Linked DNA regions of Lonchura striata. The protein of the gene in region 1 purifies or fractionates together with the protein of each later gene. This does not show direct contact. Links are inferred from orthologs where the notes say so. Each region holds a gene or a part of one and is shown in the gene's direction. Other genes may lie near its edges. The genes, in order: FLCN and FNIP2.

Region 1 (8,684 bases):
GAAGGCATGGATCAAATGAAGGGAATAAAATACGGTCTTACACTTTTGTTTGGGAGGTGAGGGATGAGAACATTTTGATGTAGAACTTTAGTGGTGGCAGAAATTACTTGTTCTACGTGGCACAGCCGTGAAATGTGTTGAAGATTAGGTACAAGCTGGACAAAGTAATCAATTTCATACATATTTTTAAGATGCTGAAATGTATAGAGCTTGATGAACGACTGAAAGCCATGGATCAAGAGATCACTGTGAACCCTCAGTTTGTGCAGAAGGTAATGGATTTAATGTCTTGTCAGAGTATGTAAGAGATTCATTCAGTGCAGTGAGTATATTGTACTGAATGTCAGTATTTACAGTGTTGTTATTACATATTATTAATAATATGTGCATAAACATCATGACACATCATAAAGATAATTTATTAATTTTAAAGGTGCTTTTCCCTAATTAATCCTGCAGTGATTTTAACCAGAAAATTAAGTTCATGTTATTTCATAGGCACTTTATTTTCCTCCCTGTTCACTTCAAAGACCTGTCATTCTCAAGCCTGCAGACCTGTTTCTGAACAGAACTAACTCTTTCCCTTTCAGAGTATGGGCTCTCAAGAAGATGACTCAGGGACCAAACCATCCAGTTATTCTTGAAATTAATGTTGCTCACCACTCCGCTTTCAAGTAAAAGCTTACGAAAGAATCACGCCTGGAACAGGGCATTGAGGAGTTCCACAAAGAGAGCAGAGAGAACTGAGCTTTGCTTTTCACCTGGACATTAAGAAAATAAAAGAACACCCTCTCAGTACTGTATAATATCAGAAATATTCTCTGCAAAGAAAAAGGAAATCTCAAAAGAAACTTGAAAGTCTGTTGTGGATTTATTTATCTTCAGATTAACATTGTTAATGCATTAAATAATCTACCTTTTGTTTTAAAGGGTTTGAATGTTGCCGTGTTTCTGTAGCAGTCCTCCTCTTCTGCAAAAGAAAGTGTTATTCAGGGAAGAATACAAACCAGTGTTGGTTCACTTACAAGATAATTATTGGTTCATTATTCTGTATTTAAAGTTGGCTCAAAGTGCAGATTTATCATATGTGTGGTGGGGGCAGAGAGGTGGAGTTCAAGCAAATCATAATGTAGGGAATTTGCATATGCCCCATGTAGCTGGTGCTGTCTGTTAAATGAGGAAATAAGAACTGTTCTTCCAGAAAGGATGAGGATATCAACATGTCCTTGTAAGGAAGTTTGCTGCAAAGTAAGAATCATATATGGAAAACATACGTGACAGCTGTTTATGATTTTAAGTTTCTGTTGCAAAATATCTGCTAATATTATTTGCTCTTAGATGAAATTTATTAGGCCTAAACAAAAGGATATTTGGAAAACATTGGTGTTCTGGAGGATTCTAGATAGGAAGTTGTTTACACTGAAAGAAATTTAAATGTTTGTTCCTGTGCAACTGGCATGAAGGTATTCAACAGGCTGATTGTTTCTTTGGTGGAAACCTGTATTTCTGCATGGAACATAAATAGAATTCTATACAGCTCTCAAAATGCAGGATTTTATTCAGATATAATGTGTTGGAATGGTACCTGGTTTTTAATTTACTATTTTAAACTTTGAAACTTTGCTATTGGATTCTTTAAAGTGCTTCACCCCTTAAATCCAACAGGCTGTTTAATTTTCTGTCATTCTCGTGTATTTGAAGATTCTCACTGTTCAAACACCTTCCTGTCAGGCAGAAATAAACCCGTCATCAAATCAGAAAACAAGAAGCTCAACAGCCACTGCTTCCTACTGAAACACCTGGCCAGGAGCTGCTTGCTCCTGCTGCCCTGCCAGCTTTTGTCCAGGTGGGAGCTGAGCATTCCTGGCTCTTGCTGTGAGAAGTTTGTATGTATTGAGGTCACCTATGGTTGAAAATATTCCATTTGTGCTTCCAGCGCTGATACAGAAGTGTTGGTGGCAGCAGGGTGCTGCCTTCTGGTGCAGAGAGGTGTCCCAGGTTGTGGTTGGTGGTGGAGGACATTTTTAAAAAAGTATAAAATAGCAATTTAGTAGTGAACACAGTGGAGGTCCATAGTGTGAGTAGCTCATCACTTCCTGCCTGAGAGAATTCCATTGGGACAACTTTTATATCTGATCTTTAAGCAAGATCTTGGGGTTTTTCATAACTCACAAGTCTTGTAACTAGAAGAGATCTATGACTTGGAAGGTTTTTAGCCTTGTTAATCCTGCAGTGATTTTAATGCTGAACATACAGCATTTTCCCCTCTGGTCCCATGGAAGTATTAAATGAGTAATTAGTGATGCTGTGGCTTGAGCCCAAAACAGGGTGGTTGTTACAACCACATGTGGCACTCACAGAAGGGACTGCAAACAACTGACCCCAAACCCCACCCATCCAGAAATGTGCCTGCCTCAACTCTCTTTGCCAGTGGCTCCCTTGCCAGGGGAGAATGTATTGCCAGGGGAGAATGTATTCAAGATGCTGTCATGGAGTCTGAAAAAAACCAGGAATGTCCATTTTTACACTACTAGTTCCTGTTATTGAGCATGGATTTACCTGCTGAGATCTGCAGGATGGTTTTCCAGCTGTGGAATTAGAAGCAAACTAATCCATGCAGCTGGTGAATAGCTCTAGATTTTTCTCTTCTTTTTCCTTGCCCAAAGTAGATAAAATAAATCCATGCTCACATCAAAAGGATGGCAAAAATAGCTGTGTAATAGTTTAAAGTGATATATTCCATTACATATCTGATTTTTAAGAGGGCAAATGCTTTTAAAGTTAGAGAATGGCTGCGGTTCCTTTTCTGTCTGTGCTGTCAATGTCTGAATTCTGTTAGAAATTCAAAGTCAGGTCCCACCTGTAGAATCAGTAGATAAAGCATTCACCAAAAGTGCTCCAGGGAAGGGCTTTTAAGTCCTCGTTTGATAAACACACATGATCTGGCATCTGCATGTCTTGAGATAGCGCTGAAATTAAGTCAGATTTTTAATGAAGCAGCTCCTTCCAAGTCTTGGAACTAATTGCCTGGGCTGTGGTCAGCTGAGAGGCTTCGAGAACACTTGGGCTTTCTGGTTTTAATTTGTATTTACTGCAGGGAAGGACTTCTGCTGAAATCTAGGAACACTGCGTGCTGTGCTGCTCCCAACTTGGACTCTCAGAGGTCTCGTGGCTGTTCCTTCCCATCCTGCATGGTCACAAGATGTGTCCAGGGAATACTGAGTGCACGCTTTGATATCTGACTCTGATTTTGATGCATTTTAATTGGCAAAGACACAAAATGCACTTCTGAAGGCAGCATCACATGTGCAGCTGCAGTTCATAGCCACAGGAGGGGTCTCTAGGCCAGTCACGGTGAGATTTGGAAATGTTCCTAAGGAGGAATGGTTGGAAGCTGTGTCCAGCCAGCCCCCACTCCTGGTTTTGTGCCACTGAGGAGCCCCAGAGCGAGCTGTGCTGAGCCATTGCTCCGTGGTGTAACTGCAGCTGCCTCCTCCTCCACAGCTCCCTGTGTGTGCCACGGCACAGCCACAGCCCCGTGTTTGTGTTGTCACAGGCCGTCTGTATAACCTAGGAAATGTTCTCCGTGTGCCACGCTGGCCCGGGAGCTTAGTCCTGAGAAGTTGTTTAAATGTACTATTGGAAAATAAAGATAACAAACGAGTGGTTCTTAGTTTGTCTTCAATGAGATTGTAGGTCTTTTCCATTTGGGGTTTTCTTAGGTTTTTTGGGGGGATCTCTCTGTTGTGGTTGCTTTTCAGGAGGTGATTTTTGGCTGACTGGGGAGGCTGCTGGTTGCCTGCTGTGTGTGGCAGTGCCCTCTGCTCCAGAGGTGCTGAAACCCTGCTGGTGGCTTCTCAGAGCTCTGCTGAGCAATTCCAAGTAGAAATAATCTTTCTTTAGTGTCTTTCTGGAGAAGTGCTGCTGCAGGTCCTTGACTGAGATGAGCTTTGGGATTTTGGATGGAACGCATCTTCACTAGTCTAGTGAAGATGTCCCTGCCCACAGCAGGGGCTTGGCATGGGATGGTCCATGAGGTCCTTCCAACCCAAACCATTCTGGGATTTGTGTCTGAGCTCTGTATTTCTGTAACAATCCATCTTGCTGACCATCTGGCTATTGTTTTAATCAAAGACATAATTATTAGTCCATGAGTGGCTGTGCTTGGACCCAGAGGTGTGTTGTGTAGTGGTATCAGCAATAGCTGCTCTTTCTTGGGATTAAAGTACGAGTTTTACTCAGTTGAATAATCTATGCTGTTATCTACCTGAAAACTTATTCTTTTTGTTCAGATTCAGGTATTTAAAGTTCTTTAAGTGGCGACTCCAAGGGGCAGGGAGGAATCTGGTACTTTATTATTTTTGAAGGTCAATAGGTTCATATGGAATTTGGTTTAGCTTTCCATCATAGATTCTTAAGAGATAAATAATATTTTAATATTTAAATGTGATATCCTGAAGAGAAACAGGAGTTGTTTAATGGAAATAAAGAGCCTGAACAGGCTTAACTTGGGCATCTGCTCCCCTGCCCTTCCCGGGCTGTACCTGTGCAAACACTTCCACAGAGCCGCTTTATACATCGGGAAACGACAGTATTGTGAAACCTTCATCTGCCATAATCTAACATTCTGAGCACTTTAAGGAACTAACACAGACGGTGGGTGCTGAGTCTCCAATGGAGAAATCGCGCCGAGCCTGCGAGAACACGGCACCGCCCTGAGGCCGGAGAAAGTCCCGGGAAGGGGCTCTGCGACAGCCGATGGCGAAGCTCGTTAATGCGGCAGGCTCCAACCCGGCCGCGGTTTCCATCCCGGCCCCGGCTCCGGTCCCGGTCCCGGTCCCGGCCCCGGCTCCGGTCCCGGTCCCGGTCCCGGTCCCGGCCCCTCCGGGGCTCCGCCCGCGGCCACCCCGGGTCCCCTCCCAGAGCCCGCGGGTCACATGACCCACAGCGCGGCCCGTACCACCCCGCGGGGGGAGCGCCGTCCGCTCCCGGGGCGGCCCCCGCCGGTCGCTGGCTGCCGCTCGTCCCTTCCGGTGTCCCCGGTGATGGAACACCGCTGCTCCGCTCTGCGCCGTGACAGCTGGGCAGGTGTAGCGCGGGCGGGGAGGGTGCGCCTTCCAGACCTTCTTACACCCCCCTCTGAGATAATGGCTCCGCCCGGCCCCTGTGGACAGGGCGGCCCTGGGCCGAGCCACTGCAGCAGCCGGGGGGTGGCGGCTCTCCGGGCGGGACGGCCGGCTCAGTCCCGCGGTACGAACGGGCTTCTCATCTCTCTCTCTGTCTCTCTCCTACCTTGTTCTCCATCTTCTCGCTTCTCCGCGGCGGCGGCGGGCGCGCGGGCGGGGCGCTGTGTGTCCCTGCCCCCCCTCCCCCCCCCCCCGGCTGGCGGTGGGGTGGTAGGGCCGGTGGGTCAGTCGGTGTCAGGCTCGGGACGGGCCGGGGGCGCCGCGGTGAGCGGGGCGGCGGGCACGGGAGCGGGGCGGCGGGGAAGGGAGCGGGGCCGCGGTGACGGGGAGCGGGGAGCCGGACACTGCACCCGCGGGACAGGCTGGCTCCGGCAGGGCCTGAGCGTTCGGCTCCCTGGGTGCTCCGCAGCGCCCGCCCGATCCGGCCTGAGGCTCCGGCCACGGGGGATCTTCTGGTCTGAGCTCAGCCTTGATCCAGAGGAGGCCACCAAGGTGATCGGGGGGGAAGAGCACCTGGCCTTTGAGGAAAGGCTGGGAGAATTGGGATTGTTCAGCCTAGAAAGGGGAAGGCTTCGGGGTGACCTAATTGTGGCCTTCCAGTACCTAAATAGAACTTGCAGGAAAGATGGGACAAGACTATTTACAGGGGTGTGGAGTGACACGACCAGGGGGAACGGCTTCAAACCGACAGCAGGCTTAGATAGGATATTGGGAAGGAATTTGGCCTGTGAGTGTGGGGAAGCACAGGTTGTCCAGAGAAGCTGTGGCTTCTCCATCCCTGGAAGTGTCCAAGGCCAGGTTGGATGGGGCTTGGAGCAATCTGGGATAGGGGAAGGTGTCCTGTCCGTGGCAGGAGGTTGTACTGGGTTATTTCCAAGGTCACTTCCTACCCAAACCATTCTGGGATTCCCTGAACCTGTAATACTGGAGGTATCTGGGCTTGATGGATTGGTCCAGCCCCATTCACCCCCACGGGGCTTGACGTGTCCTGGATCAGCGTCCAGCATCTGGGCACGGCAGGGTGAGTTGCTGATGGGGTTGCCCATCAGCAAACAGAAGGTTGCTCCTGGATCAGTGCAATGCCTGGGGAGGTGTTGGAGTCACCATCCCTGGAGGTGTCTAAGGAAAGACTGGACACGGCACTCAGTGCTCTGGGCTGGGTGACAAGGTGGGGATCGGTTGGACTTGATGGTCCTGGAGGTCTCAGGCTGAGCTTAAGGCCAGCTGCTCCGGGTGGGGTGCAGAGCAGCAGCAAGGGCTGAGAGCTGCCCTGTATCTGTGTACTGACCGTGTGCTCTGCCCCTGGCTGCAGGAGCCTGGCGGCGGTGCTGAGCCCTCACGATGAACGCCATCGTTGCCCTGTGCCATTTCTGCGAGCTCCACGGCCCTCGCACCCTGTTCTGCACCGAGGTCCTGCACTCGCCGCTCCCGCAGGGCGCCGGCAGCGGGGACATCTCCGGGCAGAACGAGCAGGCAGAGGAGGAGGAAGGTGGGATTCAGATGAGCAGCAGGATCCGCTCGCACAGCCCGGCTGAAGGGGCCAGCGCCGACTCCAGCAGCCCAGGGCCAAAGAAATCAGACATGTGTGAGGCAAGTGGGAAAATCTGTGCGTGGGGATCTCCGTCCTTGGCTGTGCTAAAGGGCTCTGGGATTCTCTGATGTAAATTGAATTGTTTAGAGACAAATAAAAATGTGAACAGAATATGTTTTATATGTGTCAGTGCCAGAAGATGTCCAAGTCCTCATAAACTGCAAGCTAGCCCTAACTGTAATCCTGGTGATCCATGACAAGAGGATGAAGGAGCTGTTGTTGAATGCATACACCTTGACAGGACCTTGATGTCTCTTTAAGTTCTGTGATTTGTGATTCTCCTGTGGCTGAGAAATGCTTTGCTCATCCTTGAAGAACATTTATTTTGTTAGATTAGATCAGATAAATTATTAATAGTAATTTTAAGAGCAGTATTGGTTAGGAAAGAATTAAAAAGTAAAACAATAAAAACAATAGGAAAAAATTATATTCTCATTCATTCAGGGCTGTTCAGCCTGGAGAACAGAAGTTTGTGTGGAGACCTCGCAGTACCTTTCCAGTGTCTGAAGGGGCCTGCAGGGAATCCAGAGAAGGACTTTCATCAGGAACTGCAGTGATAAGACAAGGAGTAGTGTGTTGAAACTGAAAAAAGGGGAAATTTAGGTTAGATATACTAAAAAATTATTCCCTCTCAGGGTAGTGAGGCCCTGGCACAGGTTGCCCAGAGAAGCTGTGGCTGCCCCATCCTAGGAAGTGTCCAAGGCCAGGTTGCATGGGGCTTGGGAAGGTGTCCCTTCCCATGGCAGGGGGTGGAATGAGGTGCTCTTTAAGGTCCCTTCCAACCCAAACCATTCTATGATTCTCATATTTGTTTTCTATCAGTACTTCCTCTCACATATTTATTATTTACTTTCCCTTCAGTTGTGGCCAGTTTTGTTTGGCCGGTTGGTTTCTCAGCTGCTGTAACTGAACTTTACCAGCACTAAGTTCATAGTGGGCTTAAATAGTGGAAAATGAGCATAAAAGCAGAAGAAGTATATCAGAGTTTTGTGTGAGGACCTGAGTTCAAATCCTGACCCTGACTCACCTTCCTTGTCTTCTGAGTCTTTGTGTTCCTGTCTGTGTGTGTAAATAAGATTTTACGGTGCTTTGGAGGGAACAGTCAGAGCTCTTTGGAAATCTCAGATACCTGCACGCTCATTTATGGCTGGATTTGCTTTTCTGCCTTCAGGGCTGCCGCTCTCTTGCAGGAGGACACCCGGGGTACGTCAGCCACGACAAGGAAACCTCCATCAAGTACGTCAGCCACCAGCACCCAAACCACCCCCAGCTGTTCAGCATCGTGCGCCAGGCCTGCGTCCGCAGCCTCAGCTGTGAGGTACCTGCCGTGGAGGACAGGGAAATGCTCTTTGTGCCTCCTCTGTCACTTCAAATCCAGGATAGTCCATTGCTTATCCTGGCTGCTCTCTGCAGACTGAAACATGGAGAGAACCAGGTGGAAAGACAGGCACAGAAGTCTGTTTATTCCAGGATTGGTGGTATTTTTTAAATTTGATCTTTGATGACCTCAAAGGTTCCTTCCTCTCACCTTGTGAGGCTAAAAATATGCCCTTCTTGGTTTTGTTCCTTGTGCTCATTATTTGTCATTGTAAGATAACCTGTTTTTTGTAAAAACCTTTGAATGTGGTGTTGAGTGCCCTTTGTAGACCATTAATATTCATCCTAACAGACACGAAGGAAAAACCTCACAGAATAATGAACATTTGTGTGTCAGGATCAGCGAAATTCCTTCTGGATTCTCAGTATTGTAGTTGAATGGAGCTGAATTCTTAAAATACAGTTAAATTGAAGGATTTGGAGCGTTTGTAGGATATCTTTAGAGGGCTGTTTGACCACACTTTTGGGATAGTATTGTACAAAGACTTCATTTATTCACCAAGTGGGTATTAAAGTGCAGGAAGCTTTTT
Region 2 (8,437 bases), on another chromosome or scaffold:
GCAGGGTTAGTCCATGCATATGAAGGCTTGGTCTTGGTAAATGGCTCCAATGTTACAAGATGCTACTGCAGTCTCCTGTTCTATGCTGGGATCGGGTATTGGCTGGACGTTTGTCACTTCCACAGTAGCATTGATGGAACAGTGTTCAAGTGCTATCAGTTGTGTCTATGTAAAGGTCAGTGATAGAACCAGCTCTTCTTACAGTAGTCTGTGTTAAGCTGTCACACCATGCAGGAATGGTTATGGAGGGCTAATCCTCAGCTGTGTTGAGATGGCTGGAATAAAGAACAGGGATCTGGTGGCCACTTCACTTAGCAGACAACCATAGTGGCATGCATCTTGGCTCCTGCTTGGTCTTGGCTTTTAGCCTGGAGGAAGGCTGCTGTCCTGTGTTAGCTGCTTGAAACAGCTTCAGAAGTGCAACCTCTGCCCTCCCAACTGTTAAAAATGTTTCTAGATCATATCAAGTTAAAGACTTGGAAAAATTAACCCTCTCTCCTTATAAAGGTGTTTGTGAGATTTGCCTGTGCATATAAATCTCACTAAAATGATTTCAGACCCAATTCTAACTTAGGGGGTGGGTGAGTACTACCTAATGACTTTGGTACTTGGGAGACTTGGGGATATGTTAGTCACCTCCTGTGAACTAGATCACAGTACAGTTGAGTTCAAAAAAGTTCAGGTACTAAATTTCTTGTGTTCAGAAGTTCCTGTAAGCAGTCTTACACATAGGGATATATTCTGGAATGCTTTTGAATGAAACTAGGGAAATCGTTTGAAAGTAGCTATTTCTGTTTGTCACTTTATTATAGCACTTGGTGGAAATGCTGTAAAATGCTAATGGAGAGCTGGACTGGATAATGAGTGCAGTGATAGGTATGCGAAGAAGATGAAAATGCAAACAATGTATTTTGTAGTGAATGTGGTTTTTTTGAAACAGTCAACTCAATGAACCCATGTGCACATTGATAATGCATCTGTCCAATTTCTTTATTTTTGAGGAAAATATGTCCGTGTGGAGTGCCAAAGATGACTTGAACCTATGAATTAAACTTTGTTTTCTGCTTAAAGAAATAATTCTGTATTTGTATTGAAATGTGTTAGCATGCAAACTAGAAATTTGAGTTTATTTTGGCTTTTTGTTTGCGTTACTGAAGCACTAAAAGTTGAATGTAGTCTTCATCAGAGTTGTATCCTTGGTCCCTGTTCTGGCAGAAAGTGAAAATAAAGAGTTTTGTTTGTATTTAAAGGAAGTTGTCCTGAATCTGTAATTGTTAGGATGGCTTCTAGTGAGTCTTCTCTGGTAGACTTCACCTCACTAGTAAATCAGGTCTGTTATAAAGGATTTTCTTGTACACTGTTTTCCTGGGGAGCATTAAAGAAGCTTGACGAATTTTTACCTTCTTGTGAGGAGGAAGGTTTCGAATTTGTGTAAATAATTGCTACTGACTGAAATTTGTTTGCATCTATCAATGTGCAAATCATTCTTGTTGCAGGACAAGGATGCAACTAAGTTTTCCGTGTGATTTTTATGTTTTTGCTCAGATGTTTCAGGGTTGATGGACTGATACTTGGCAGCCAAATGCTAGCATACTACTGGGTGCGGTCAGCCGTAATTACGTACAAACCTGACTGGATAAACTTCTAAGTCTTCTATAATACCAGTGTTTTTGAGAAAATGTTTGGGATCCTATGTGAGTAGTTTAGAGTGGTTGGCCTGCTTTAAGGAGGGGAGACTGTTTCATAACTTAATGACTATTTATACATGCAAAGTCCTACGCAATTGGTGGTAAACAGAACGTAAGTCTTTAGCATAGTGGCTTGCAGCAAGGATAGGTTTGCCTGTGCCAGTCAGCTGCAGGATTGTGGTTTGTTTGGTTGGTTTTGTGTGTAGTCTTTTTCATTGAAAAGATGTATGGTATGAGTTATTTAATTGCCATGATCTTCTGCACATGGTCCTAAGGTGTGGTTCCTCCTTCCCTTTCCAGTGAAACTTGAAAATAAATCTGTGTAAGCCTTCAAGATTCAGTTCTAGTTACTCGAAAGCTGTTTTCTGTGCTATCTACAAGAGAGTTAAGGAAAGTGTTTTGGATGGAATAGACAAATTATCATAACAACAACAGGAGGAGCAAAACATATTTTTGGCTATAACTAGTGAAAAATGCCGGAGCTGATGTTATATCCGTCCGTGTTATCACTTCATTCAATCTAAGTCAGGATTTCCTGGCATTCATCTAGACCAAGGCAATGGATTTTGCTGTTCGTGCTGTAGCAACTTTTGGGTGATCAAGCATGGCTTCTTGTGTATGTGTTCTTTCCCATATTCTTGCCAGTTTGGTAAATCAGTACTTTCTCATAAATATTCAACTTAGGTTTTCTTCCTTCCTTCCCTGGTTATTGCAGACTAACTTTTCAGCTGCAATCTCTGTTTTAGAAGTATCAAAACACATCTTGTTCTTACAACAGTTTAACATAACCATTTACAGAGGTCTTGCCAATACTATGTTAGCTAGTCAAAAAAACTGGGCTGCTTCAGTTCTCAGCACTGTTAGAGAGCCACATGTGATATCTTTTCATAGAATAGGAATTTAGGAGGTAAATATTAATTTCGTTTTAAGTGAAGTGATACTGCTGAGTTTGTGCTTTTGGGTTAGATGAAACACTTTGAAGCAATTTCCCTTGGAAGAAGGCCATGGGGTCCTTGGATAGCACTTGCCTCTAGCCCTCCTTGAGTGTGTTCTTTTGTACAGTGGGAGTGCGTGTTCAGAACAATGATGAGAAATGGGGATTTGCAATCTTTCTGCACCCCTGGAGAGAGTACCCTAAACTTCTGTCTGTAAAGCTTGAGAAAGTGCCACATCCTCTGCAGTTCACAAAGCCCTCTTGTGAATGTAGCCTTTTCATAGTATAGAAGTGGAGGAAATTTCTAAAGAAATGGTTGCTGTTAACATGAGGGTGTTTTTGGCTACTTGAAGGTGTTTGTGTATGTTATAGCAGAAAAATACTTTCCATTTAGCTAGAAAAAAACTGGGGTGGGGGGAGAATGTTAAACACCAGACATTGTTTAGCTCTCTGTATCTATGTATTTACTTACATCCAATAAATAACATTTTTTCTTAATAATTTTTTTCATATTCTGAAATTAATCCTTTGAACAGATGTCTGAAACCTGTATACAGAATCTTCCTTAAATAAAAAGAATAAAATATAGAATATAGGGCTTTATAGAGGAGGGAGAAGGAACAGGAAAGAGCAGACAACCAAACCCATGCCTCAGGATACCAGCCTTAAGGTGTGGCGATGTCTGTCTTGGCCTGCTCACGTATGTAGGAGATACTAAGGTCTGAATTCTGTCAGTACTTTTATACAGCACTGCAATGAAGTAAGAGCTAGTATAGTGTTATAAATACCAGATTCTGCCTTGCATTGTTGCTCAAAATTCTCCTTCAGACAGATGTACAATGGGTAGTTCTTCCTTGTGTTCAAGAGAAGGTGGGGAAAGGCAGAGGCAGGATAAAGGATTTCTCTTAATCTCATTTTCTGGCAGAGGCAGTTCCCAGACGTGCCTTGGCAGTGTCTGTATTTAGTAGCTGTGTTCCTGGCCGCTGGCCCAGTCACATGGCGCCGCTGGAACAAGTGACACGGGAATGATGCATTAGCCGAGACCCAGGCTGCGTGCCGGAGGAGGTGGGGTGCCCTGGCCGGCCCGGCTGCCTGTGCCCGGCCACGCAGCAGAGGCGCCGGACCCACACTGCTTGCTCCCGGGTGGCCGCTGCTGTTTGGCTCCAGTGAAAGCTGGAAGCGGCTTATTGCAGATGCCTTGAAAAAATAAACAGGGAAAGGAGCAGAGTCAAATCCTAGAGAGTGTTAAATCACAAGCAAATTTTCATTTTTTTGAATTGATAAAGATCATCACTCTGAAACAGCTACTGCAAAATACTTGACTTGCTTCGGGTCAGCTGGCTCTCCCAACTGTTGGAAGCTATAGAGATGGCAGCAGAAAGTGGGATGGAAAGGGGAAAGTTGTTTAAAACTAAGCATGGCTTTCTGTATGGAGGAAAGAACTAGGTGGTAGACATAAGGTGCTAACCTTAATGCAGATTTTACCTGTCTTTGTTTAAAGACCTAGTTTAACAAAACCCATACTTTTCTTAATGGTCAAACACAATTAAATGCATGCTTTTTTCCATGCAATTACAAGCCTTTAGCTCTTTTCTTTCCTAATGAGGAATTCCACTTCTGGAGCTAGCAACTGAGAGTGCTGTCTCTGTGCTATTTGTGGTCCTCCTTCAAACAGTGTACTTGCTGGGTGTTTTCTTTGATTAAGGTTTTGTTTTATTGTGGGTTTTATTTTTTTATTTCTACATTAGATAGATTACATTAGATAGATACCCTATGACAGCTAACTCCCAGACTTCAGATTTGTAGATAAGCCAGTGAGCAGTGATTCCTGATAACTTAGAGAAGTTGAGTTGACGCACTGGTTTAATGGGCTGCTCTTTATGTTTATGGAAAGCTGATGTGTGCACTTTATGGTGACTCCAACTTGCGTAGATCTGTTTGTTAACCTCTATTTAGCAGTGTGTGTGTCTTGTCATTTTTTGTGCATGTTTGTGATGATATTGCTTTATAGCAACAAAGATGAAGAAAAAATACTTCCAGCCTCACAAAAATCCAGTATCTTGTCCTTTCCTAAGCAGGGAATCTGTGGAATTCTAGCTTTTCAATTAACAAATATGTCCAATACTGCTTGGAGTTCATAGAGGAACATATAGAATTATTCTAAAAAAAGTGACGCTTCTGTACAGTGATTTGATACCTAGAACTTTTTTTCCATCTGAACATTTTCTTCAGGAAAATCTGTCTTGAGAGAGAGCAGTGCTCCAAATAATACCTTCGTTCACTTGTTGCGTGACTAATCTGCAATGTATCCCGCCTAACTTGTGTGAAACTAGTAACTATGTATCATGCTTGAACAAGGTAGTTCATCTCAGGTTAATAGAGCTTTGCCATATTAGGACTACTTTAAGTCATTGTGGAAAAGGAATGTGGTGTGGCATCCACACAACTCTTCCATATCTGAGGTTTTAGAAAGAGAAGAAACAATGTAGGGTAAATGAGGCAAATTAGGAGGGAGGATGGGAACCTATCTTCCCCATAAACTATTCAATGGACTAAAAGAGGGAAAATTATCATTAAGCAATCCAGAAAAGATTCCACTTCATCTTTAAATATGTGTTTTGGCACTAATCCTGAGTGTTTGGGTCTAGGTATTTTTTGTGTATCAATTTTGCGATGTGTGTGTTTTGCAAAAAGAAATGCTCACTGAAACAGCAGGTGTGGTTCAAACTTTTTTGCTAAGCTTCTCTAGCCACTTCTAAAAGCTTGCATGGGTCTCTGAAAATATTCTCTTAGATTTGAAAACAGTGCTTAAGTTTTAGTGGACAGCTGTAACTTATATAGAAAATTATTCTTAAACTACATCACATACATTTATTTCCTCTTTCCCCTACCCCAAATTTTCTTGCTAAAGTATTACCTTGAGTTGAAATAATTTAGGCAATTGTCTTGCAGTGAAAATGAAGGACAGGAAATGACCTACAAACAGAGCAGGTGGCATGCTGTCACATAGCCTAGAAAAAGAGTGATTAAATTCAGCTTCACAGAGGATTATATCTGCAGAGCAGGACACTTTATTCCATTTTCTGTGTTATCTACTTTATGGACTGTGTGTTTTCCATGTGTAGATTTATATATTATTTTGTTGTTTAGAAACTGTGCTGTGGATTTGGAATGTTAATTCTTCAGATACTATAGGATTTATGTTATTCTACAGATGATTGCATTTACAGATGAGGTAGTGTTGTGAAGCCATCTATTTAGTGAGCTTACAGGAGTTTCTTGTTCTAATCCCTGATGGGAATTTGATTGTTTGATGAATGTTCCAGAATTTTGGTTTGTTTGGGGAAAGGGTAGTGCAGAAGTGAAAGCTATGATTTCCTGATCTTAGTCAACATGTATTATTTCACTTCTTTCATCTGTGCTTCAAAGATGACTGGTAACACTGGTGTTTAAAGTAGTCTTCCTCAATGAGGGGAAGACTAGAGTTGTCTTCTCCTAGACAATTTAAGTCACTTGAGAACAGGCCAAAGATTTCACTTGTTTGCCATTCTTGGAAGGAGGAGTGATTGTGATCCAGTACTTGTCACTTCTCTGGGGATCGAAGTGGAGCGGTTTTTTTATTGCTATAGGTTTCCCTCAGCAACAGAGCAAGTTGTTCAACCTAGCATTGCTCTAGTTTTTTGCTTCACTTCTGTCCAGTTTTTAGAGGTTGGGGTTAACTGTGATTACAAAATCATTTTAAGGGTGCTGTGCTATTTAGCAGGTAGCACGTAGCACTGGGTTTTGAAATCTTGCTTCTAACTCTACTGCTTGTCTGGTTGACCATTAACAAAGTTATTTTCCCTTTTTAACCTGGAAGAGAAATTGCAGTAGGGCTGTTATCTTATAAAATGTCTAAAATTTTACTGGTGAGGAGAAAGCCCATTGTAATTCATGATAGATGTGAATTATGAGCAGATATGTCTGGATAACTTATTTTAAAGCAAAGATGGGGTAAAGAGGACTTTATTCTGCAGTAGAATTACCAGAGCCTAACAGAACATCCTGTGTGTAGTTTTGGACACTGCAATACAAGAAAGATATTTAAGCTATCAGAGAGTGCCCAAAGGAGGGCAAAAAAGATGATGGAAGGCCTTGTGGAAAAGCTGTATGAGAAATGGCTGAGGTCACTCACTTTGTTGAGCTTGAAGAACATGAGACTGAGAGGAGACCTCATTGCAGTTGCAACTTCATCATGAGGGGAAGAGGAGGGGCAGACACTGATCTCTTCTGTGGTGACCAGTGACAGTACCCAAGGGAATGGCCTGAAGTTGTGCTGAGGAGGTTTAGGTTGCATATTTGAAAAAAGTTACTCACTTAGAGGGTGTTTGGGCACTCAAATAGGCTCCCCAGGGAAGTGGTCACAGCACCAATCCCTGACAGAGTTCAAGAAGTGTTTGGACAGCACTTTGGGGCATTAAGTATGACTCTTGGGGATGCTGCTGTGCAGGCCCAGGAGTTGGACTCAATTATGTTCTCTCTTCTGTGATCCGATTCCTTTGTTCTGTTCAAAAACTGAAATTTACTTGGGAGTACTTTATTAGATATTTTTGTCATCAATGCTGTCATTGAATTATTTTAAGAGGCACATGACTGTAAATTCTCATCAAGCAACTTGAAATCTGAACAAACCTTTTCTCATTGTTTTCCTTCATACTTTTCAAATAGCTTTTCAAAGTACTAGTGTCAAGTTCTTGTCCAAGTATAAGTAGTATTTGTCCTTAGAAATAAAGTCAGTACAGCACAGAATATCTAGCATGTTTCTTGGTGTTGGTAGTTGGGTTTTTTAAACTGATAACCATATGGCAATGATGACAGATTCTTACTTGCTCCTAAGCTATACGAGGTTGCTAGGGGTTGTCAGATGACACTTGCTCACATGAGAGCCATTAACAGGGTGTTGTAGCCAGTGTTAGAACAACCTTGCAACTAAGGGCGAGTCACTGCAAAAGCAACTATGCTTTTTTTTTTTTTTTTTAAAGAGGCCATATGGTTCAGTCTTGTGACTACATAATTGCCAGCTACCTAAATCACATACCAGGAAACAAACATAGCTAAAGTCAATATTAGCTGTTGTATCTGCTGCAGCTTTGCGCCAGGCTTAGAAGGAAAACCTCTGACAGCAGCAAGAACAAGTCCACGATGGCTTCTGAAACCTGAAAGTCATGTCTGTTCTTTCTGGAATAATTGCAGGACTACATTAGCTACAGCTGTCCTTTTGTATTAATGGCTTATAGAATATATGAAGATTCCTTTGCCTTTTTTCCCCCCCAACTGGAAATTCAGCAGACTGTCTTCCTTTATTGGGAAGAAAGGTGATGGTAAATTACCATTGTTAATGGTTGAGCGATAGTGAAGAAACTTGCTTGAGGTTTTTTCTCTTCAGCAGGTGTTTTAGTTTCTTTGAGGGAGCTTTACAAGAGGACTTGTAGCTAAGAAAATGTGTGGGGGTACACCAAAAACTGCAAATGGCACTGGGGGACAAATAGAAAGAACAAGAAACAACAATGATCTCTCTTGTACCAAATTGGATGAAAGAATTAGAAAGTCTTTGAGAGACGAAAGTGTCAGCTGTGCCAACAAAGTGACTAGACTGCTGCAAAACAGGTATGCATGTAACTTTTTTGATGTATATGATTTTTGACAAAGAAAGGACATTTTTATGTGACACTAGATTTATAATAATGTGCCTGAAAGGCTATTTTGTAAATAACTGAGAAAGTTCTGCTAAAGGCTTATTTTTGATGATGATGCTGACTGAAACTCCAGAAAGTCT

The links.
Region 2: the proteins of FLCN (region 1) and FNIP2 purify together in Homo sapiens (affinity purification with western blotting; 5 studies listed by BioGRID and IntAct, with this or other methods). This does not show direct contact. The link is inferred for Lonchura striata from reciprocal best matches to the Homo sapiens genes FLCN and FNIP2.

What each region holds. Positions count from the first base shown.
Region 1 is NC_134618.1:15,351,733-15,360,416, reverse strand, and holds the start of FLCN (folliculin), read left to right. Parts: upstream 1-5,006; 5' UTR 5,007-5,250; intron 5,251-5,380; exon of another isoform or gene 5,381-5,450; intron 5,451-6,498; 5' UTR 6,499-6,527; coding exon 6,528-6,776; intron 6,777-7,948; coding exon 7,949-8,095; intron 8,096-8,684. Other genes in the region: COPS3 (COP9 signalosome complex subunit 3), read left to right, coding at 192-272, 591-644. UniProt on the Homo sapiens protein: Multi-functional protein, involved in both the cellular response to amino acid availability and in the regulation of glycolysis.
Region 2 is NC_134606.1:40,680,732-40,689,168, reverse strand, and holds the start of FNIP2 (folliculin-interacting protein 2), read left to right. Parts: upstream 1-5,045; 5' UTR 5,046-8,101; coding exon 8,102-8,268; intron 8,269-8,437.